3 linked regions of the Notamacropus eugenii genome follow. The protein of the gene in region 1 binds, or shares a complex with, the protein of each later gene. Links are inferred from orthologs where the notes say so. Each region holds a gene or a part of one and is shown in the gene's direction. Other genes may lie near its edges.

Region 1 (7,929 bases):
AGCACAGCTGTGTTTGGTATCTCTCAACAGTGGAAGGTCCTTCAGTCTTCTCCTACTCAGTCTTCTGACCCACACTCGTCTGTGAAGTGCAAGTTCCCAAGGCTGAAGCTGCCTCCCAACCTAGCTGCCCCCAGGACTTGTTGATTCTGAGGGGTTGGCCTGGAAGTGTTTGTATTTCACTCAGATCAAACTTCCACCCCTGGAAGTAGTGTCTTTCCTGGGGTGTTCTCAAATTGTATTAGGAGGACAACTGCTTTACCTCAACTTTTCTTGATTTCTGTTTATATTATAGTATTCTTTTTTTTTTGTGGAGGAAATTTGGAGAGCCAAAAGTTTTCTGACCTACGCTGTCATCTTCCCAGAATCCTCTCCCTCGTATGCACAGAGATGATCATTGAACCAAGCCTTAAACCCAATTCACTTTGGAGCTCATAGACTGGTCAACAACTTCCCACCCACTTAGTACAGAGTGAATGTAATTACTAAATAGTAACTATTTCTCTTTTACCCAGGAACCCTGAGGGCCTTAACCTCCCAGTTTGAATTTTTTTAAAGGGACCATCCCTTGAGTAACTACTTAAAGAAGCCTCTTCATTGAATGGGTGTATCTCAGTCAAGGTGAGAATGTGATAAGACCTTAGACCTGAAAGGGCCAGGGTCTCCCAGTGCATCCTGGGCCATCTCTAGTCATTCTGATGAATATCAGGCCTCTGGACCCAGATGGCTCAAGAGAAGAAAGTGAGGTTGGTGACATTGCACAACCCTCCCTCAACTCAAATCAAAGTTACCTCAAGTCATGTCATCATCTGGATGTCAGGGTCCTCTTTGAGAAAGAAGGACAAACACAAGCTGTGCATCCAAGTATATTGATGAGATCAAGTGAGAGAGTATAGAGTAAAAAATGGGATTAGGATAGCCTTGGAAGACATTCACAACTAGTGAATGTGATGTTGAAGATCTAACAAAGGACACAGAGAAGTGCTCAGAGAGGCAGAGAGAGATCAAGGGAAGGTTTTGACCAAAAAACCCAAAACAACCCAAAACAACCCAAAACACTCAGTATCCAAGTTGCATGCGGGGGAGGGGAGGCAAGACTAACAAAATTTGTGGAGATGTCAAGCAGGGTGAAGACTGAGAAAAAACAATTCAATTGGCAATTTATGAGATTGTTGGTAATTTTAGAGAAAGTAATTTCAGTTGAATGATGAGTTTGGAAGCTAGATTAGAGGAAAGGAAGTGGAGGAACTGGGGCTAGACAGCCTTTTCAAGTTTAGCTTAGAAGGGGAGGGGAGATACAGGATGACAGATTGCAAAGATAGTAAGGCGTAGTGAAGGGTTTTGAAGGATGAGGAAGATCTGGGAATGTTTGTAGGTGGCATAAAAGGAACTATTAGATAATATTAGATATTAATATAATACTAATATTAGATATTAGATAGACTACATTAGATATACTACAGATACCTATCTAAGTGCCTTCTGGCCATTTTACCTGAAGATACAATAAAAACAAATACAAAAAACTTTTATTAAGCCTTTACTTCATGTAAAGCACTGTGCTAGGTGCTGCAGGTGATTAAAAGTTTAGATACATCATGGTCCCTCCACTCAAGGAGGTATAAAAGGTAAGGGTATAAAATACCAGCACAAAGTTATAATGCACAAAAATAAAAAATTGTTGAGCCAAACATAATGTCCAACAGGAGGAGCTCAGCAAAGGTTTGCTGAATTCCTAATGTCACTTTTGTTAGAAACATGCTGAAACTCAAGTATCAAGGAAAATTTATTAAAGAAGAATCCAGAGGAATTGGATGTTTCTGGCCAGAAGCGGGCTCCACCCTTTTCCAGGAACAGGGAATGCTGAATCTGAAGGGAGAGAAGTTTTATACTGTTAATTCAGAACAAAATCCTCCCATCAGAGGACAGATTGTTCTGTTCTCTTTCAGGTCACAATTTTCCAGACATGCCCACTGTATGTTTTCCCCTAAGCATGTGTAGGCATGTACCCCTCCCTCATCATATGTTCCACGATCAGAAAATGGAGGGATAATTTTGTGTGAGGTGTGTCTGCTTATATGCATGAGGTTTATTAAGCATGCACTATGAAGAAAAGCTTTCTCATGGTCACTGACCCCAACAGGTTTAAACTAGTTTCAGGCTGGGCCCCATTATCAGAAACTTTTTGGTTAGGCTAGCTTCTTCCCCTGAGAGCTGATTGGTTGGTAGTGCTTGTTATCTTACATTACCTTGAAACTGCAACATTTTGTGGAATCCTAACTTATATAAGAATGACTTGTCTTTCTCACACTTTAAGCTCAATAGGCTCTTCCTCCTAACCTTATTTCTATGTGATGACTAGGATAGAGAACCTAGTCACCTAAATTCAAAATGTCATAACTTTATATTTCCTTGAAACCAATTAATGAGTTTCATTGGTTCCTCTACAATATTTCCTATATCTGTTTTTTACTGCACTGCCTTTGGACTTCTTCCCCATACCCTAGGAAGCTCATAATTGGATTAACCTCATCATCATGTTAAGATTTCATCAGCTTTGACATTCCCCTTCATCACTATCCTCTGCCTCTCTGATTGGAGGGTAGGACCATGAATTCCAAACCTCCATTTAACGGGAGACCTCAGCCTAGCTATTTCATTTCTAGCTTGAGACTTCCCTGGTTGACTTCTCCACCACACCTCCATGTTGGATAGTTGCCCCCACCCCATTCAGATTCCTTTTGTGTGTCCTCTTCCTCTTTAGGATTTTAAGTTCCCAGAAGGTAGGGACTTTATTTTTTCATATTTGTTTCCCCAGCTCTTAGCAGGGTGCCAGGCATAATGTTTATTGACTATTCACTTTTAATCCCCACTAACATTCTAATTTTTCCTTATCTTATGCATTATTGTATAGCCTTATAACTCACTTCCATTCTTCGAATCTTTCTACTGCTCCAATCCATCCTTTACGCTACCACTAGTTTTATCTTCCTGGAGACCTTCACCATCTACAGTAGAGTTCTTCTATTTGAAATAACTTTTAACATTTACAAGGCACTTTAAGGTTTGCAAGGTACTTTATGTCTTATTTCATTTGACCTTCACAACAACCCTGTGAGATGAATGCTATTATCTTCATTTTACAGAAGAAACTGAGGCTGATGAGGTTTAAGTGACTTGCCCAGGGGCACCTAGCTAATGTCTGAGGCAGGGTTTGAATTCAGATGTTCTTGACTCCAACTCCATCTTTCTATCTGCTGCACCACTTTTATGTGGGCCATTCTCTAGCCGACTTGTGAGTATCTTTGGCAAGCATAGGTCTTCTTGTTCTATACTCTGATACTAAAAGGATTGTTGAAAAGTTATTTCTGTGGTTGTATTTATCATAGTCTTGTACAATAATATATGCATAGGGGACATATTGGAGGAGAGGGCTACATTTTGCTGTCTGGAATCACTTTTTAAAAAATAAATAATTGGCAAATAAGCTCAATGACACAATTTTATATTTTCTATTACTTCTGTCAGCGGTGCCTGAAGATGTAGGTCTGGTGTAGAAAATACACAAAAAGCTGGTGTTCCCTTTTCATGTTTTTACTCCTAGTAGCCTTGTTGTGCGTCCATGTACTAAAGAAAGTAGAAATTCTCCTTAAGCATTGTTGAGCCCTTAAGCAGAACACTGCCACATATGAAAGATTACAAACTAATTGTTGTAGAACTTACACTCTAGTTGAAGGAAACCACACATACACAGAATTTACAAAGTGTGGCAGCAGCCTTTACCAACTGTTAAAAGGATAGGAGGGCGTGCAGTAAGGAAGTCATCACAAAATGGTCCTCAGAAGTCTTCTAGCCCACATCCCTCATGTGGGATGAACATTTCAGAGATAGGAAGTGACAGTCGGATTTTGCCTCCAGGTCCTGACTCCAAATCCAGGCCTCCTTCCACTGAACCGCACGGATGGTAAGGGTGCAGCCTGGTGCGGGGGCTGATTCTGAAACAAGGGATGCACGCGGGGCGTGTGTCATCATCATACTATTAGTGATAATGACAGCTCTCAGTCCCATGGCACTAGTGAGGCCGGCCAGCAGCACTTTCCGTATGTTCTCTTATTCGATCCTCACGGTCCTGTCAGCGGTCAGCGGGGCGCGGTCATTGTCTCTACGATGCAGAAGGCAGGAGTGAAGCCGACAGAGATAAAGGGACCGGCCCAGGGGACACGGTGACCAACTGTCCGGGGCCAGGTCGCGGGTCCTTCTCGACTCCAAGGCCAACGCTCTCCTTGGCACCATTCACCAGACGGGGCGTCAGCCGCGGCAGAGATGGTGACCTGGAGCGCACAGCCCCACCGGCCTTGTCCTGGCTGGCGCGTGGTGCACCTGGAGACCCGGACGCGCGCGGACAGCACAGGATGCTGGCGTTTGGCGATGGAAGGACTTTGGAAATCGCCCATCGCATTCAGGGGCTTTTAACCTTTTTTGTGTGCTAGGGTTCCTTTGGCAGTCTGGGGTTTTTAGATTCATAAAATACGGAGGATTACCAAAGAAACCAGAAGTTAGTGAAAATAAAGACGTAACGACCGGGGGGAGGGGAGGAAGAGCAAGGGAGGGAGGTGGCCCCCGGCTGGTAGGAGAATCGATCCCGGCGCCGAGACGCAGCCCCGGGGACCCCACGTGGAAGCGGCGCCGCAGGGACCCCAGGCTCGAGATGTCAGGAGGAGGAAAGGTCTCCGTCCAAGACCAAAAAGCACCGGCTTCTAGAGGCCCGCACCCCCGGGAGGCCCCGGGAATTCAATGGCAGAACACACCGCTTCCTTTCGCGCTTCTTCGGTTTCTGGCCGGGGAGGGCCACTTCCGGTACCAGGGGGCTCCGAAAGGCGGGGAGCACGGCTTGCGGCGGCCCCGGCGGAAGTGCGCTAAAGGACCAGTGTCGCTGCTTCCGGTCCGGGTTGAGCGGTTCTCCTGCTGGAAGGCTCTGTGGTTTGCGGGAGCCGGCTGGGGCTGGAGCATCCCGGAGCTAGGGGGGAGGGAGAGAGCGAGGTGGAGAGAACACGCGGGCTCCCAGGCTGATTCGGGGACAGCCCGATGGTGACGCCGGCCACCGATCGCAGGCACAGAAGACAGAGGGAACCCGAGCGCCACCAGGCTCCTGTTTCCAGGGGGGCAGCCTGCACGGGACACCCCCCGCCCCGGTAACGGCCGAGGAGGAGGAGGAGATGGCGCCGGCCAGGGAGCGGCCGTGGCCGAGGCAGTGAGAAGCAGCGAAGCCCGAGGAGCCTGCGCCCCCGCGTGTGAAGAGCAGGAGCCGGCGCCATGGAAGAGACGAAGCCGAGTTTGCAGCTGGTGTACCAGGCTGTGCAAGCGCTCTACCACGACCCGGACCCCAGCGGCAAGGAGCGCGCCTCGTTCTGGCTCGGGGAGCTGCAGCGATCGGTGAGCGGGGGCCGGGGCCGGCCGCGGGGGGCGGGGTGCCGGGTGCTGGAGAGGCCTGCGGCGGGGCCGGAGCCGGCTCGGCGGCCCCGGGGCCTCGTGCAGCCCGAGGGGAGGAGCTGCGGCGCGGGGCGGGGCGCGGCGGCCCAGCCGCGGCTGGTGGAAGTTTCTAAAGAGAAGGGGCAGCCGCCAGCCCGGGGACCCTTCCCCTCCAGGGGCTGCAGAGTCTTGGGCCTGGAGCCCCCTGGGAGCTGAGGCCTTCCCGGGTTCCCGCTCTTCCACTGCCCCGAAGGGACCGGCCGCCCGGTCCCCTGCTGGTCCCTGTCCCATCTCCGTCCCTGTCCAGCACGCCCACTCCTTTCTTTTCTCCGCGTTCCGGTGTCGCAGCCTGGGATTCTTTCCCATCCATTTGCACCCGCGCCCCCATCCTCATTTTCATCCATTAATAGCTCTAAACACCTCTCAGCTCTTTTAGGTCTTTGCATCTGCCAGTTTTGCCCCCTTGTTGTATTCCTTTGCCACCTCCTTGTCTTTTAACTCCGTGTTGGGACTTACTCTTTCTTCCTCACGATCCCCCTTAACTTATGTTGTATAATATCTTTTTTTTCTGAAATGTGGGGAAAACTTTTTAATTCTACTGGAGCCATGAAATTGTTTTTTAACAAATGTGAAAATGCTTTGAAAATGAAAGGATATTGCACTGTATTTGCTTGTCTTTCAAGCACAAATCCTTTTCTGATTTCTGTTGACAACCCTTCTCTTCCCCCCTCCCTCAATTCCTTCCTTTGCTGATTTTTGTACTGTGCCCTTTAAAGCTAACTTGTTTGAGGTCTTAGTGCGTACGAGTTCCGTTTATTTTGGTCAGCTTGCAACTTTGCATTTGAAATAGGGTGGGTGGTTTATTTTTGTATGTTCCTTTGTTTCCAATTCTTGGCTTGCCTGATTTCAAGTAATGAGAAATTTTTATAAGATAGATATTATTACTTGATAATCATAACACAGTTTCTGTGGTCTGGAGAGGGAGAAAAGCCTTTTTGTGGTGCTTTGTTTTAGAGTTTCCTAGCGGTAGTTATTTTTGTAAGATAGATTAAAATTACTTTCATTTTTATAGGAGGGAAGTGCTTGGTTCGAACAGGAAAAAGTGATTTGTTAATTAAAAGGGACTTTCTCAAGGTATATTTCCCAAGCTGTTTCAGTAGTATGTAACAAACTTGAAGTTTGGTCCTAGCACAGTTAGGTTTTTATTCTCTTTGGAGGACAGAGCTTACTTAAACGTTAGTTGTGCTATGAGACCTGTGTCAAGAAGAAACTTTTTAATTTTTTTGTAGAACATAATTTTTTTTCTCCTCACAATCTCAATATGCAGTTGTAATTCCAGCGATCTCTGCCAATTGGTCTCCTTGACAAGCTCAATATGAAGCAGTAGTTAATAGTGGTACAATTTAGATACAGTTGAGCACATTCTGGAATAGGATGCATTCCTTGTGTTGCATATATCAACATCTTTTTCTCCCCCCACCCCCCTTCATTCTTAGAAACATCCTGCTGCAGAGATTATTAGAATTGATGACTTGGAAATTTTCTAAAGGAAGAGAAAACTATATTTCTCTGGTTTGGAGGCTGACTTTTATAGCAATCCTACCTAGCAAGGGTCTGTTATATGGCAGGACTCTATTAAATATGGTGGGAGGGAGATGCCCTAATTTAACTCAGCTAACTCAAACTCTGGGGGGAAGCATTGAATGAAAAGTCATCCCTTCGTTGGATATGTGGAATAACCTAAGTTGTTGAAGACAATAATTTAAATCAAGAAGAAGGGAAGTGTATTTTATAGACTGGAAAACTGTGATAGTTTTGACTGGAATAAGAGCAAATCTGGTTGCTGTACTGTGCACCACGGAAGCAGATGAGCCAGGATAACCTTGGGACAATGATAATTGATTTGGCCTAGATTCTTGGGAATTTTTTTTCCCCATAATAAATGAGGCAGGCTGTGGGATATGTACTCTAGTACTTTTCCTCTTTGGAATTCCCAGTTCCCTGAAATTCTTCTGAAACATCAGGGTTTTCTTTTCCTTTTCCTTTTCAGTCATTGGTTTGACTTGGTAATTTATTCTGAAGACTAGACATTTATTTGGTGTTTTTAAGCTGTCAATCAACATTGCCAGTCAGCTGTCAAACTGTCAATGAACCACATTGACTCCTATCATGTGCAGACATTGCTCAAGGATGAAGATGTGGAGTCCAAAAGAAAGGGCGTCTTTGCCTTCAAGGAGCTTGAGTGTTTTTGGAGAAGACACCATGTATGCACATAAGTAAATACAAAATAACACGTGATATAAACATAAGACAGTGGTGGCACTATGTTTGTGGGTGAAGGCACTGGAAGCTTTGGGAAATGGGGCAAGGCTCCATGTTGGAAGTGGCACTTGGACTGAGCTAAGAAATAAGCTAGAATTGATCTGAGGCTTGGTGGAGGTGAGGAGGCATGGAGAGTCTGTG
Region 2 (7,102 bases), on another chromosome or scaffold:
CCCAACATTGGAAAGCATAGGAATAGATGGACCTTTCCTTAAAATGACAAGTAGTGTATCTAAAACCATCAGTAAGTGTTTTCTGTAACAGGGATAATTTAGAAGGAAGAACAGGAGTGAAGCGAGGATGCTTAATAACACCATCATTATTTAGTATTGTATTAGAAATGCTAGCTATAACAATAAAAAGAAAAATAAATGAAAGGAATTGGAATAGGCAAAGAGGAAACAAAATGATCACTCTTTGCAGATGATATGATGTTATACTTAGAGAATCCTAGAGAATCAACTAAAAAACTAGTCAAAATAATTAACGACTTCCACAAAGTTGCAGAAAGCAAAATAAACCCACAGAAATCAACATTTCTATATATTACCAATGAAGTCCAGCAGGAAGACACAGAAAGAGAGATTCCATTTAAAATAACTATAGGCAATATAAAATACTTGGGAGTCTACCTTCCAGGACAAACCCAGGAACTAGATGAACATAATTACAAAGCACTTTTCACTTACATAATAAAATATACAATTTTATATATAATCATTTATATAATAGAATATAATAAAATAAGGTCAGATTTAAAAAACTGGAGAAATGTTCATGGCTCATGAGTAGGCTGAACCAATATAATAAAAATTATAATCTACCTAAATTAATTTGCTTATTTGTTGCCACATCAAACTAACAAAATTATTTTATGGAGCTAGAAAAAATAATAAAATTCATCTGGAAAAACAAAAAATCATGAATATCAAGAAAATCAATTTTTTAAAATGTGAAGGAAGGTCATATCTTAGCGTAGTAATCATCAAAACAACCTGGTACTGGCTAAGAAATAAGAGTGGTAGATCCGTGAAATAGATTAGATATACAATGTATAGTAATGAATGACCGTTGTAATCTACCGTTTGATAATCACAAAGATCCAAGCTTTTGGGACAAGAACTCACTATCTGACAAAAAGTGCTGGGAAAACTGGAAAGGTAGTTTGGCAGAAACTAGGTATAAACCAACATCTCACACTGTTTACCAAGAAAAGGTCAACATGGGTACATGATTTAGACATAAAGGATGATGATATAAGCAAATTAGGGGGCCATGGAATAGTTTTCCTATCATCTTTGGATAAGGAAAGAATTTATGACAAAACCAGAGATAGAGAATATTGCAGGAAGTAAAATGAATACTTTTGATTATTTTAAATTAAAAAGGTTTTTCACAAACAAATCCAATACAGCCAAGATTAGAAGGAAAGCAAATTTTTTATAACAAGTTTCTATGATAAAGGCCTCATTTCTCAACTATACAGAACTGAGTCAAACCATAAGAATATGAGTCACTCCCCAACTGACAAAGAGTCAAAAGACATGAGTGAACAGGTAGTCTTCAGAAGAAGAAATCAAAGCTATCTACAGTCATATAGAAATGCTCTAAATCACTATTGATTAGAGAAATGCAAATTAAACCAGCTCTGAAGTACCATCTCACGCCTCTCAGATTGGTTAATATGACAGAAAAGGAAAACGACAAATGTTGGAGGGGATATGGAAAAATTGGAACATCAATTCACTGTTGGTAGAGTTGTAAACTGATCCAACCATTCTGGACAGCAATTTGAAACTACACCTAATGTGTGCATATCTTTGACTCAGCAATGCTACTACTAGGTGTGTATCCCAAAGAGATTTGAAAAAATGAAAGAAAAAAAGAAAAAGGTAAAAGAACCTCTATGTACAAAAATATTTATAGTAGTTCTTTTTGTCATGGCAAAGAATTGGAAATTGAGGGGATGCCCGTCAACTGGAGAACTGTTGAACAAGTTGTGGTATATGATTGAGATGGAATACTATTGTGCTATAAGAAATGACAAACAGAATGGTTTCAGGAAAACCTAGAAAGACGTATATGAACTGATCCAAGAGAACCAAGCTACGGTACGAGAACATTGTACACAGCAATGGCAATCTTGTACAATGGTCACCTGTGAATGACTTAGCTATTGTCAGAAACGGAAGGATCCAAAACAATTTTGAAGGATTTATGATGAAAAATGCTATATACTTCCACTGAAAGAACTGAGTCTCAATGCAGGTCAAAACATACTTTTTTTAAAACTTTATTTTTCTTGTGTTTGTTTGTTTGTTTTTTTGGTCTGTGTTTTCTTTCGCAACATGGAAAAGGAAATATGGAAATATGTTTTGCATATCTGTACATGTATAATGTGTATCAAATCACCTGCTTTCTCAAGCTGGGGGGTAGAAATGGCAGGGACAGAAAGAATTTGGAACTTAAAATTTTAAAAAACAAATGTTAAGAATTATATTTACATGTAATTGGAAATGAAATACAAAAAATTTAAATTAAAATAAATTATCCCAAAAGAGAAAATTTTGTTTGAAATCATGAACATCCAAAAAAAGTGTTTTTAAATTAAATAAATGTAGTAACAAAGGTATCCTGTCTAATCTCCTGAAATTGTTTTTGCTTTTTCTGCTTATGTTTAAATGTTTTGTCTCCCCCTGCCCCTCTCTTGCATTTCTATAACTACCCACTAATCCCCTCCTCTCTTGTACAAGTGGTTGGTGATAACCACTCTGAGTATGGGACTGGCCCCCACTAGACAAATCTTCTTGAGTTTCTCCAGGTCCTCCATATAAATCACTGTTTTTATGGTTTAATAATATTTCATTACTTTCTTAAATCACAATTTGTACAGCTATTCTACAATTGAAGGGTAGTCTTATTTCCAATTTTTTTTTGTTATTATAAATATTTTTATGTAAACATTTTTGGTCCTTTTTTCTGACTTTGCCCTTTTTTGGGGTACAGGCCTAGTAGCAGCAGTAGTATCATTGGTCAAAAAGTATGTGTAGCTCAGGGACTTTGGGGGTATTGTTCCAAATTGCTTTTCAGAATGACTGGACCCACTCATAACTTCACCTACAGTGCATTAGTGTGCCTGTCCTATGGTAGTCCCTCCATCAGTTGCCATCTTCTATTTTTCTTTGCCAGTCTGATAGGTGTGAGGTGGGACTTCAGTGTTATCATAATTTATATTTCACTTACTAATGATTGGGAACATTCTTTTACCTAGTCATTTGAAAACTGACAAAACAAAAAATTGACTACTGGGAAACGGTTCCTATTCTTCTATTGTATCAATTCTCTCTATTTTTTAGGTGTTGGACTTTTGTTAGAAATATTTGCTATAAAGATCCCCCCTTCCCCCGGGTTAACAGCTACTCCAGAGGTTCCCAAACGTATTTGGCCTACTACTTTTCAAAAAAAATTACTCAGCACCCTCCTGAAAATTTACTTTCTTTAACCTTTTAACTTTTTTTTTGAAATTGGCATCACTTCCCAAAACACATAAATTTAATAACGTATTGTAAACTTGTGGGGTTCTTTCCTGCATTGAAATTTTGATGATGCAACATTGTATCATGTAACCTTATAGTATCATATTGTACACAAGTCATGTTCCTGTGGATGCATGCTGGACTTCCCAGCGGTGCAAAGCATGCTCCCCCGCCAACACTTGCTTCCTAAGGTCTTAGTGGACTTGACTGATAGGTTCTAACTTGCATTTTGTGTTTATTTGGAAAGTAACGTAATCACTAAGACCTGAACTCTGTTACACGACAGATAAAACTTGGACGAATGGTGTTTCAAAAGTTTCTTCTCCTCTTTCCTTATGTTCCCACCGCCCCCTTCTTTTTATTCCAGCCCCCCACTGCACCCCCCAACCTTTGGACTCTGGAGCCCAGGGTGCAAGTGACAGAGCTCTGCCCTGACCATTATTACCTGGACATCCAAGTCAACAAGGATTTATTAAGCTCCTACTATGTGCCAGGGCACAGCGCAAGGGGCAGTCCTGACCTCAAGAGCGAGAGACCATTTGGGGACTAGGTACAAACGAGGTATAGGTGGGTTAGGTCGGAGGAGGCCCGGGCGGGCTTCTGGCAGAAGGTGGCATTCTGAAGGCAGCCAGAAGCCGTGCCAGGGCCGGGTGGAGCGGGGCATCCCCGGGCGGAGGCCGGGCTCGGGCACAGCGTTCCCTGACTCGGGGGCACGTGCGTGTTGCCAACGTACAAACGTGGAATGGCTACAGTTGAGACGGAGCCTTAACGCTTTCGTGCACAAACGTGATCTCCGTTTATTCCCAGCTGCTGTCGCCACGCCCCCTGTGCCCAGGACTTGCTCAGGGTCACTCGGGCCGGATTAGCCCTGGGGGAGGGGCGGTCCCCGCGCGGATGCCCCCGCCTGTGCTGCAGAGGGAACCCCAGGGCTGCGGGTCATCCGCAGGTGCTGATCGCTTCCACCTGGCAGGGAGGGGATCACGGGCCAGACGAATAGGTAATGGAGAAGCGCTGTAGATAAAGTGGCGTCTTTAGTCGTTCCCGGGGGGCCCGAGAGTCACGGGGTGTGCGGGGGGGGCTCCCACCCGCGGTACGGAGCGCGGGGGATGCAGGGGTGGAAAGGGGGCTGGAGGCAGGAGGGGGTGCAGCCAATGAGAGCGTTCGGTGAGTGAGTGGATGTGGGGATGGAGAAGAGGGAAGGGTCCTGGATGACCCCTGGCGCGGGGACCGGGGTCACCGGTAACTGACGGGCATAGGGGTGGCTGTGCGGGCCGATGGGGGAGGAGGGGAGCACGGGGAGGGGGGTGATTGTGGGGCCGCGGCCCAGGAGGCGGATTGGCTGGGTTGGGGGAGGGGATCCCCTGGGGCCACGGAGCGTTGCCAGACTCGGGGCAGCCCCCGGGGGGAGTGGGAGTAATTAGCAGGTTGGGGGAGGCGTAACCCCGGAGCACTCGAGCGTGGGCGGGCTTTCCGGGAGGGGGTGGAGGGGTGGGGATATGGAGGAGCAGTGATTTCCCGTGGTGAGGGCTGGGGGCCGCGGAGGGCGGAGCTCGGACGTCTCTGGGCGGGGCGTCTGAGATGATTTTCCCGAGAGGGCGGGGCCCCGCGAGGGGGCGGGGCCCAGGCCTCCAAGATGGCAGGGGAGGCCTCCGTTTTCCCAGCAGCTCCTTTGTTCGGCCGCCGCAGTGCCGGAGGGAGAGCGCGCCAAACTGGGTCAGCCCCGCCTCTAGCTCCCAGAAAGGGGCGTGATTTTAGCCCCGCCTCCAATTCCTTTCCTGCCCCCCCCCCCCACCGCTCTTCGGCAGCCTGGGGTTAGAGGCCTCTTCAGCCGGAGGGGAGGGGGACTGCGGACGAGCGGCAGGCTAAGTCCCCACCAATCCCTTTACACATCCTCGGAGGAGCGGGGCGGGGCGGGAAGGGGGAGAGGGAGCTCGCCGAAGCTCATGAATATAAATCAGCGTCCGGCTTTGGTCCCCTTCGATTGGCCCTCTGGGCTCTGGGGGTGGGGCTAGAGGGCGTGGCTTCGTGGCGGCGTATATAAGGCTGAGCTCTTGGGCGCGCCGCTCATTTTCCCGTTAGGAGGCTCAGGTGGCTCTGGTCTGTCCGCTGATATCGCTTATCCTTCCCGCCCCATCCAACACACCGGTGAGGGAGCCCGCCCCCGGCCACTTGGTCGAGCCTGCGGAGCTGGCAGGGCCTGGGGTGGTCGGGGTCTGGGGGGGAGGGGAATCAAGGCAAGAGGGAGGAGAAGACGGGCGGCCCAGCGCCTGGGCGGAGAAGGGCCTAGGCACCGGCACGCCCCCCTGGGATACGGCTGTGGGCAGGACGGGTCGGCCCGCCAGGTCAGGGTGGGTTCGGTGGCGGCGGCCGACAGCCGAAGTAAGGGGCTGCTGCCGTTGCGGTGTCCCCAGGGGCCGCCGGGGCAGGCGAGTTCTCTGAGGCTTTGCCGCAAAATGGCGGCCGAGAATCTTGGCGGGCCGCTTAGTGAAATGGCGGGGACTGCCGGAGATGCCCGGATGGAATGGCGCAGGGAGGCGAGGCGGGGGCTCCTCACGCATGCGCAGAAGGAGGCGGCCGCTAGTGGGGGCTGGAGGAGGGAGGCGTTGGGCGCACTGCACCGCGAACGAGAGAGAGGGGCCCTGATTTAAGGGGAAGCCGGGCTGGGGGGCATCTAAGAATTAGTTCCTGCTTAGGACAGGGGCAGGCGCTCCGGGAGACTTGCGGGCCACGTGGTCGGCGGCCATCTTGATCTGGGCCGCGGGCTAGGCCCCGGAGTGGCCCGTTCCCAGACCCGGCCCGGCCCCAGCGGTGGGCGCCTGGGCCCCGGCGTGCCAAGGCCGCCGCTCCAAGCCATCCCGGGCCTGCCGGCTGCCCCGCCCACCCGGCCCCTAAGCAGCGACCCCGAGGTCAGTTGGTCAATTCCGGACCTGACGCCTCCTACAAAGTGGTCCTGGGGCTTCCTGTAAAAGATGTAAAAAGAAGGCTCTGTCCCGCGCACAGCACCTAACCCCAGGCTTAATGTTTTTTACTAGAGAACAGGCCCACAGAAGGAAGGGACTTGCCCCCAAGGTAGCGAGTGTCAGCCTTGGGGTTGGAATGGTGTGGGGAGAGTCTGAATTTGGGGTCCTGGCTCTTCGGTGATTTTAGGGGAGGCACTTCGGGAACCAGATTACGCATGTCAGAGGCCTCTTTGGGCTGTAAAACCTTTCCATGGGCTCCTGATTTTTAATTTCTTTGTTTTTTTCCCACCATACCATGTTAATCTCTCATGGGATCCTAGCTACCATCTTAGGAACAAGAAGGTACAACCAGGGTCATTTAGTTTATTCTCATTTGTTTTTGTCTTTTTTTTAGCACGTATATGACCCTTGACAAATTGCTTAATTTTTTCTGGGCATCAGTTTTCCCATATGTAAAATGAAAGTATTGAGTTTGTTGCTTGAAAAGCTCTTTCTAACCTTATAGTGTAAGATCTATCAGTGCTCTTTCATGCTTTGGGCGGGGTGTTATAAGGGAGAGAACTCTGTCCAGGCCCTGGGAGACTTTGCCTATTTTTAAAGTCCCTGTTCTGGTCTGAGGTTTTTTTTTTTTGTTTTGCCTTATCAAAGCTAGGAAAGGGCCCTTGATGTGACATTCTAATGAATGAATCCAAAGGAATTTAGGCATAGATCCCGGATTGAGAACCCTAGTTTTAAGTGAACTAGATCTACTTGTGTGTGCTTTTTTTATAAAATGTGTC
Region 3 (7,112 bases), on another chromosome or scaffold:
CCTTACTCTCATCAGAACTGGCTCAAACAGGGAATAACATATACATTCAATTGGGTATAGAAACTAATTTTAACCTACAGGAAAGTAGGAGGGGAAGGGGGATAAAAGGGGAGGTTGATAAAAGGGAGGCAGGTTGGGGGAGGGGGTAGTTAGAAGCAAAACACTTTTCAGGAAGGACGAGGTGAAAGGAGAGAGAGAATAGAATAAGCAATGCGGGGTGAAAGGATGGAGAGAAATACAGTTAGCAATAGCGACTGTGAACAAAAATTTGAAACAAGTTTTTCTGATAAAGGCCTCATTTTTCAAACATAAAGAGAACTGAGTCAAATTGATAAAAATAAGAGCCATTCCCCAATTGATAAATGATCAAAAAATGATCAGTTTTCAGATGAAGTAATCAAAGCTATCTATAGCCATATTAAAAATATTACTTGCTACTGATGGAGAAATGGAAATTAAAACAATTATGAGGCACTCCTCATAGCTATTAGACTGCCTAATAGGACAGAAAAGGTAAATGACAAATATTGGAGGGGATATGGGAAAAATGAAACATTAATATGCTGTCAGTAGAGTTGTAAACTGAGTCAACCATTCTGTAGCGCAATTTGGAACTATGTCCAAAGGGCTATAAAACCATGCACACCCTTTGACTTAGCAATACTAGGTCTGTATGCCAAAAGAGATAAAAACCAAAAAGGACCCATATCTACAAAAATATTTATAGCAGCTCTCTTCTTGAGGCAAAGAATTGGAAATTGAGGGGATGCTCACCAATTGGGGAATGGCTAAATAAGTTGTGGCATACAATTATGATGGAATAGTATTGTACTACAAGAAATGATGAGCGGGATACTCTCAGAAAAACTTGGAAAAGACTCACATGAGCTGATCCAAAGTGAAATGTACTGTGTACAAAGTGGCAGCAATATTGTAAGATGATCAGCTTATAACTTAAGATACATATATATATGTGTGTATATATATATATGTGTATATAAGATAACTTAGCTATTCTTAGCAATACAATGATCCAAGACAATTCTGAAGAACTTATGATGAAGGATGCTCTCCATCCCCAGAGAAAGAACTGATGTGCCTGAATACAGATTGAAGCATACTTTTTTTAACTTTCTTCTTGAGGTTTTTTTCTCTGTGATTTCTTTTACAACATGATTATTATGAAAATGTTGTGCATGACTGCACATGTATAACCTATGTTGAATTGCTTGCCTTCTCAACGGGGCGGGGGGGGGGGGCTGGGGGTGGAGAAGGAAGCGGGGAGAGAATTTGGGACCAAAAGTTTTAAAAACAAAAGTGAACTGGGGAAAAATAAAAATGAATGAAATGAATGAATGAATGAAAAATAAAATGAATACAAATTTAAATAAAAAGCCATCCTAGAATTCCTCACTATCTCTAACCTCCACTATCCTCATATACCACATCCCCCAACCTCCCCTCTTGACTCTGCCCTGTATCAATGTGTTGCCAAAGCTTGTCAATTTGACCTTTGCAACATTTCTTGAATATTTCCCCCTCTCTCCTCAGACACAACCACTATTCTAGTGCAGGCCCTCATCACTTGATACCTGGACTATTGCAACAGTGGGTCAGCGTGCCTCAAATCTCTCCCCAGCTCATTCATTCTCCATTCAGCAACTCAAGTGAATTGCCTAAAACACAGGTCTGACCATACCATCCCTCTCTACTCAATAAATTCCAGTGGTTCCCTATCACTTCCAGAAGCCTCTGGTTGGTGTTCAAAGCCCTCCATAACCCTAGACCCCCTCCGACCCTTCCAGTCTTCTTATACCTTACTAACAAGTACAATTACTCTTCAAAGGATCCAGTGATACAGACTTCCTTGCTATTTCCAGAAAGAGACACTCCATCTCAGCACCAGGCAATCTCTTTGTCTCCCATGACTGCAATGCTTTTCCTCCTCCACTCAGATGACCGATCTCCCTGGCTCCTTTAAGTTCCTACTAAAATTCCACTTTCTACAGGAAGCCTTCCATTTGTCCTGCATATAGCTTGCTTTGGGTATATATATATATATATATATATATATATATATATATATATATATATATATATATATATATATATATATATATATATGTGTGTGTGTGTGTATATATGTATATGTATATGTATGTATACATATATATAATATATATTTGTCTGTAAGGTGTCTCTCCAATTATAAACTTCTTGAGGGCAAGGTCTCTTTTTGCATCCTCAGCACTTAGCACAGAGCTTGGAACACAGTAAGCACTGAAATGTTTTTTGATTGTCAAGTTATTCTATTTCTACTCCCTTTCATAGGCGAATTTATAGGAAAAGTTGTCTACATTCATTGCCTCCTCTTCTCTTACTCGTTTCTCACCACCCTTCAGTTTGGATTCCAAATTTATCATTCAACTGAAACTTGCTCTCCAGTTACCAACCATCTCTTAAGTGTCCACTCAAATGGCCTTTTCTCCGTCCTCATCATTCTTGATCTCCATCCTTTTCTCTTTGGGTTTTTATGCACTGCTGTATCTCCCTTTTCCTCTTACCTGTTAGATTCTTCCTCAGTCTCCTTTGCTTGATCATCATCAATGTCATAGGATTATAGATATAAATGGGGCTGAGAGGTCATTGATTCCAACCCCTTCATTTTTCAGAGGAGAAAACTGAGTCTGAGAAACATAATATTAAGTAGCATTTAAATGGTGTTTTAATGTTTGCAAAACCTTTTACAGATATTCTTATCATGTTTATCCTCACAACAACTATGGGAGTAAGTGCTATTATTATCCTCATTTTTCAGATGAAGAAACTGAGGCCCACAGAGGTTAAGTGTATTTATCAGGGTCACAGAGCTAGTAGGGCCTTTCAAACTCCAGACCCAATGCTCTCTCTCCTGTGCTACCTAGTTACCCGAGGTTAAGTAATTTGCCCAATGTCACACAGTTAATAAGTATCTGGTGGCAAAATTTAAATTCAGGATTTAGTAACTCCAAATGCAGTTCTCTGTCCATCAAGTTTACTATGGGTATACCTCAAGGCTTTATCCTGGGTCCTCACCTTTTCTATAGCTATACACTCTTTTGGTTATCTCATTGACTTCCATGAGTTTAATTAAGATAATATCTTTGAAGATAACTCTGGGCCAAACCTTACTGAGCTCTGGCCTTTCATTCCCAACTGCTTGCTCCACATTTCCAGTGTATGATTTGTAGACTTCTCAAATGCAACATGTCTAAAACAACATCCATCTTTGTCTCCAAACCTACTCCTCTTCCAAACTTTCCTCTTTCTTTAAAATGGACTAGCATCTTTCTAATCACTCAGGTTTCTGACCTCAGTTATTCTTCAGGTTTCACTTCCTTCTCACCTGGAATATTAAAAGACTTGCCAAAGCTTCTTGTCTCCAAAACATCCTTCTTATTATTCTTTTTTCTTCATTCCCATGGCCACCATCCCTTGTCTGGGCTACTGCAGTAGCTTCCTAAGTGTTCTGTTTCAAATCTCTAAATGACCCATCCTCCGCAGAGCTGCCCAATTGATATTCCCAATGCATGAGTCTGACCATGTCATCTCCACCCCTGCTATAAAAAGCTCCAGTGTTTCCAGCACAAAATACAAACCGCCTTTATTTGGCATTTAAAACCCTTCATCACTTAGCTCAGGCAGGTAGAAGGATAGACTCATCTTTAAGTTCAAATCCGGCCTCAGACACTTATTAGCTATGTGACCCTGGGCAAGTCATTTAATTCTGTTTGTCTCAGTTTCCTCATCTGTAGAATAAACGGAGAAGGAGATGACAAACCCCTCCAGTATCTTTGCCAAGAAAACCCCCCAAAACCATCTAGTTCTAATCAACCTTTCCAGATTTATGACATCATACAATCTGTGTTCCTGCCAGTCTACTTGCTCTTTCTCATCCATGATAATCCATTTTCCATCTCTATGGTTTTTTGCTGGCTCTTCTCTGTGCCTGAAATGTTCTCCTTCCTCATCTCTACCTCTAACAATCCCTTGTTTCCTTCAAGGGTTAGTTCAAGTGCCCCCTTCTAAAGTCGAGTTTTTCGAAGCTGTCATCCCACCCTGCTGCTATTACTGGGGCTTTGCTAAAATTATTTTGTAGCAATTATACACACACATATGTATGTATATGTGTATATGTGTTTATATACACATACTTCATGTTTACGAATGTGTGTATGTGCCTTTTCTCTTTAGTAGAAGCTAAGGTCCTCGACATCAAGAACTGTTTCTTTTTTTGTCTTTACATCACATTGCTGTTCAGTTGTTTCTCTTTTGTGATGCTATTTACAGATTTTGGGAATTTAATGTTGTGGTTTGCTATTTCCTTCTCTAGCTCATTTTACAGATGAAGAAAGCGAGGCACACAAGTTAAGTGACTTGCCCAAGGTCATACGGCTAATAAGGGTCTGAGGCCAGATTTGAACTCAGGAAGATAAGTCTTTTTCTTGACTTCAGGCCTAGCACTCTATCCCATGAGCAACCTAGTAGAGTTGCTTATATACTTAGCATTTAGTAAAGTACATGTTAATTAGTGCTTAATAAATGCTTGAATGACTGATGAGTTGCCAAAATGCTGTAGGGTGTTTCCTCACTGGTACTTACCTACAGAAATTACGTTATAGAAAAAACAATTCCCTCTTTGTATCATTCATCACATCCCTGACAGGGCAGTGATTTTTCCCATATAAAAATAACTTAAAAGGGGAAGGGGTAGCATAGTAACAGCTAGTGTCCGCCCTCCAGATTAATTCCAATTTATATTATGCCTATCTAGTTATTTACTTGTTGTTCCTGGCTCCACTCACATTAGATTGTAAACTCCCTGAGGGCAAGGATTATTTTTTCTTTACCTTTCTTTGTACTTAACCAGCCGACATATTGGTACTTTGGCTGTTCACCTTTCTGAGCTAGTTTCAGCATTTGTAATTAGCGGTGAGACTGGTCTCCACCCACAGTTTAGCACTGAAAGGGTCACAAATGGAAAAAGTTTAAGAAGTCCAGAACTAGATGACATCTAAGGCCCTTCCAAGTTTCCTATTTTTTGTTCTATATTTGGGGAGAAAGGTTGGAAAGCTACAAAAACTACCTCACTCAAGGATGGGAAAGCTGGCTAGCATTTCATAAATGTAAAGTCAACGTCCAACCCGGTTTTACAGATGGAGAAACTGAAGAGGTCAGAGGATGGGGAAGTAAAGCAACTTCAAGGTCTCTGTTCCAGGACTTACAGGCAAGTCTCCTGAATCTTAAAAAATCTTGTACTCTTTGAAAAAACACCAAACATGAAGTGTCTACTATATAATGAGCACTGGAGTTGGAGGGAAAAACTGAGCTACCTAGCTCTAAATTTCAACTCCCTATAGGCTGAAAGTGTTTTTTAATTATAAATGTTTTCTAGTCACAGTCATGAACGCAAAAAAATAATTAAATGACAATGTGTTGTCAAACTAAAGATTATCATGGCCACACACTTTTCATTAGAAAGTCTCGTTACATACTTAACACCAAGTCAGATGAAAATAATTTTTTATAATTAATAATAATAATATTTTTAACTCCCCCCCAATTATTTTAAGATCTTTTTACTGAAGGTCTCTGCTAATAAATCTACCTGAATTCCCTTTTTTCTCAATGACATGTAAAAATAACTTTTTTTTAAACATTTCGAGTTCCAAATTCTCTCCCTCTCTTCCCTCCTCTAAGTACATACACTGTCAAGCAAATGTGTTTTTCACGTAAATGTGCAGATTTTTTTAAGTTCCCAGGTAACAGCAAAAAATAGGTAGAAGAGGGTTCTGCCCTCAAGAAGCTTACGTTCGTCATCCCCTTATATACTAGCAAATCAACCTATTTGCGTAGGTGGGTGGGCAAAGCAGTTGGCGGCCAGGTGGGTTCGTGCCACACCTCCAGCTGCGTAATGACGTCAACGTGAAACACGCAAAGAGAGTCCGGCAAAGCCCCCTTCTGAGCTAGGAAATTGCCACGCGGCCCCCATTAAAGACTCCGCACGCACCTCTGCACACGCATCTCCGCCCCCAGACCGCGGCGCCGACTTGAAGCTCCAGTCCCCGCCCACTCCCCACCCCTGCCGCTTTACTCCACTTTTGTCCCCGCCCCTCAGCGTTTTCCCGCCAAGGGCCGTTACTGCCGCGCGGAATTGTGGGCCGGTGCTGCCCGCTGCCGGGTCTATTTCAGTCCTCCCCGAGGCGCCAAACCGCCCAGCAGACGCGGCTTCCTCAGTCCCGAGAAGAACGACTTGGCCCGACGTAAACTAGTAGCCCCCCACTAAGGATAACACCTGTCGGTGTTTTCATCCTACTACTGGGTTTTGCCACGCGGAAGTTCGACGACTCGATATATCCTACCGGCGCGGGACTTTTTTTTTTTTAAGTTCTCCTGTCGCCGCGGAGGGTGACGCCGGACGCGCGTGCGCAACGAACCCCGTAGAGGTGCCCGTTGCGTTCCTGCGCGTGCGCAGCGTGTCCGCGAGTCCGCCTGCTGTCTCCCCTCCCCCGTATCCGTGCGCGGAGCAGGCAGATAAGGGCGCCATTTTGGAGCAGCCGCGGGAGACGTGGTGTAGCTTGCAGGGCTTCCTCCGCTGTGTGTTTGTAGGGTGGGGGAGGGAACTCGGGCTCTCTAGTCCGCGCCTTTCTTCGTCGTCGCTACCGCCATGTCGGGAGGAGGAGTGATCCGCGGCCCGGCTGGGAACAACGATTGCCGCATCTATGTGGGCAACCTTCCCCCGGATATCCGCACCAAGGACATAGAGGACGTGTTCTACAAGTACGGCGCCATCCGCGACATAGATCTTAAGAACCGTCGCGGAGGGCCCCCCTTCGCCTTTGTGGAGTTCGAGGACCCGCGGTGAGGAGGCCCGGGACGGAGCTGGCTGGGGAGGGGTGCTGGAGCGCGCGGGCCCGCCCTGCAGACTGTGAAGAGGGAGAGCCGGGGCCTGCGCTGAGAAAACAGACGCGTGGTGGCGGACAGGCAGAGGGGAGCAGTCCGAAAGCCCTGGGGACAGCAAGGAGCGCCTACCCGTTCCTGGCTGGCTGCCCTGGGCCCCCCTAGGTGGGGCC

Evidence for each region.
Region 2: the proteins of TNPO3 (region 1) and CIRBP are in contact, whole or in part, in a crystal structure (PDB 8CMK), measured with the Homo sapiens proteins. The link is inferred for Notamacropus eugenii from reciprocal best matches to the Homo sapiens genes TNPO3 and CIRBP. Residues at the interface, in NP_036602.1 of Homo sapiens: Arg620, Glu660, Arg661, Cys663, Arg664, Arg667, Phe668, Arg671, Ser698, Cys699, Tyr702, Ser705, Ile706, Asp709, Glu710, Asp747, Asp750, Asp751, Arg754, Arg758; in NP_001271.1 of Homo sapiens: Tyr160, Arg161, Ser163, Tyr164, Asp165, Ser166, Tyr167, Ala168.
Region 3: the proteins of TNPO3 (region 1) and SRSF1 are in contact, whole or in part, in a crystal structure (PDB 4C0O), measured with the Homo sapiens proteins. The link is inferred for Notamacropus eugenii from reciprocal best matches to the Homo sapiens genes TNPO3 and SRSF1. Residues at the interface, in NP_036602.1 of Homo sapiens: His155, Arg157, Arg160, Thr167, Tyr254, Ile256, Glu257, Glu304, Glu340, Ile341, Phe343, Asn344, Tyr347, Arg348, Glu351, His352, Lys355, Thr356, Arg620, Asn656, Glu660, Arg661, Arg664, Arg667, Phe668, Arg671, Ser698, Cys699, Tyr702, Ile706; in NP_008855.1 of Homo sapiens: Ser116, Arg117, Arg118, Ser133, Trp134, Gln135, Lys138, Asp139, Arg142, Glu143, Gly145, Asp146, Cys148, Tyr149, Ala150, Asp151, Val152, Tyr153, Arg154, Val172, Arg173, Asp176, Asn177, Arg181, His183, Tyr189, Ile190, Arg191, Arg198, Pro200.

The regions. Positions count from the first base shown.
Region 1 is NC_092874.1:121,047,911-121,055,839, forward strand, and holds the start of TNPO3 (transportin-3), read left to right. Parts: upstream 1-4,924; 5' UTR 4,925-5,310; coding exon 5,311-5,430; intron 5,431-7,929. UniProt on the Homo sapiens protein: Importin, which transports target proteins into the nucleus. Specifically mediates the nuclear import of splicing factor serine/arginine (SR) proteins, such as RBM4, SFRS1 and SFRS2, by recognizing phosphorylated SR domains.
Region 2 is NC_092875.1:62,242,195-62,249,296, forward strand, and holds the start of CIRBP (cold-inducible RNA-binding protein), read left to right. Parts: upstream 1-4,094; 5' UTR 4,095-4,360; intron 4,361-5,282; exon of another isoform or gene 5,283-5,508; intron 5,509-7,102. UniProt on the Homo sapiens protein: Cold-inducible mRNA binding protein that plays a protective role in the genotoxic stress response by stabilizing transcripts of genes involved in cell survival. Acts as a translational activator.
Region 3 is NC_092873.1:370,374,862-370,381,973, reverse strand, and holds the start of SRSF1 (serine/arginine-rich splicing factor 1), read left to right. Parts: upstream 1-4,104; 5' UTR 4,105-6,706; coding exon 6,707-6,900; intron 6,901-7,112. UniProt on the Homo sapiens protein: Plays a role in preventing exon skipping, ensuring the accuracy of splicing and regulating alternative splicing.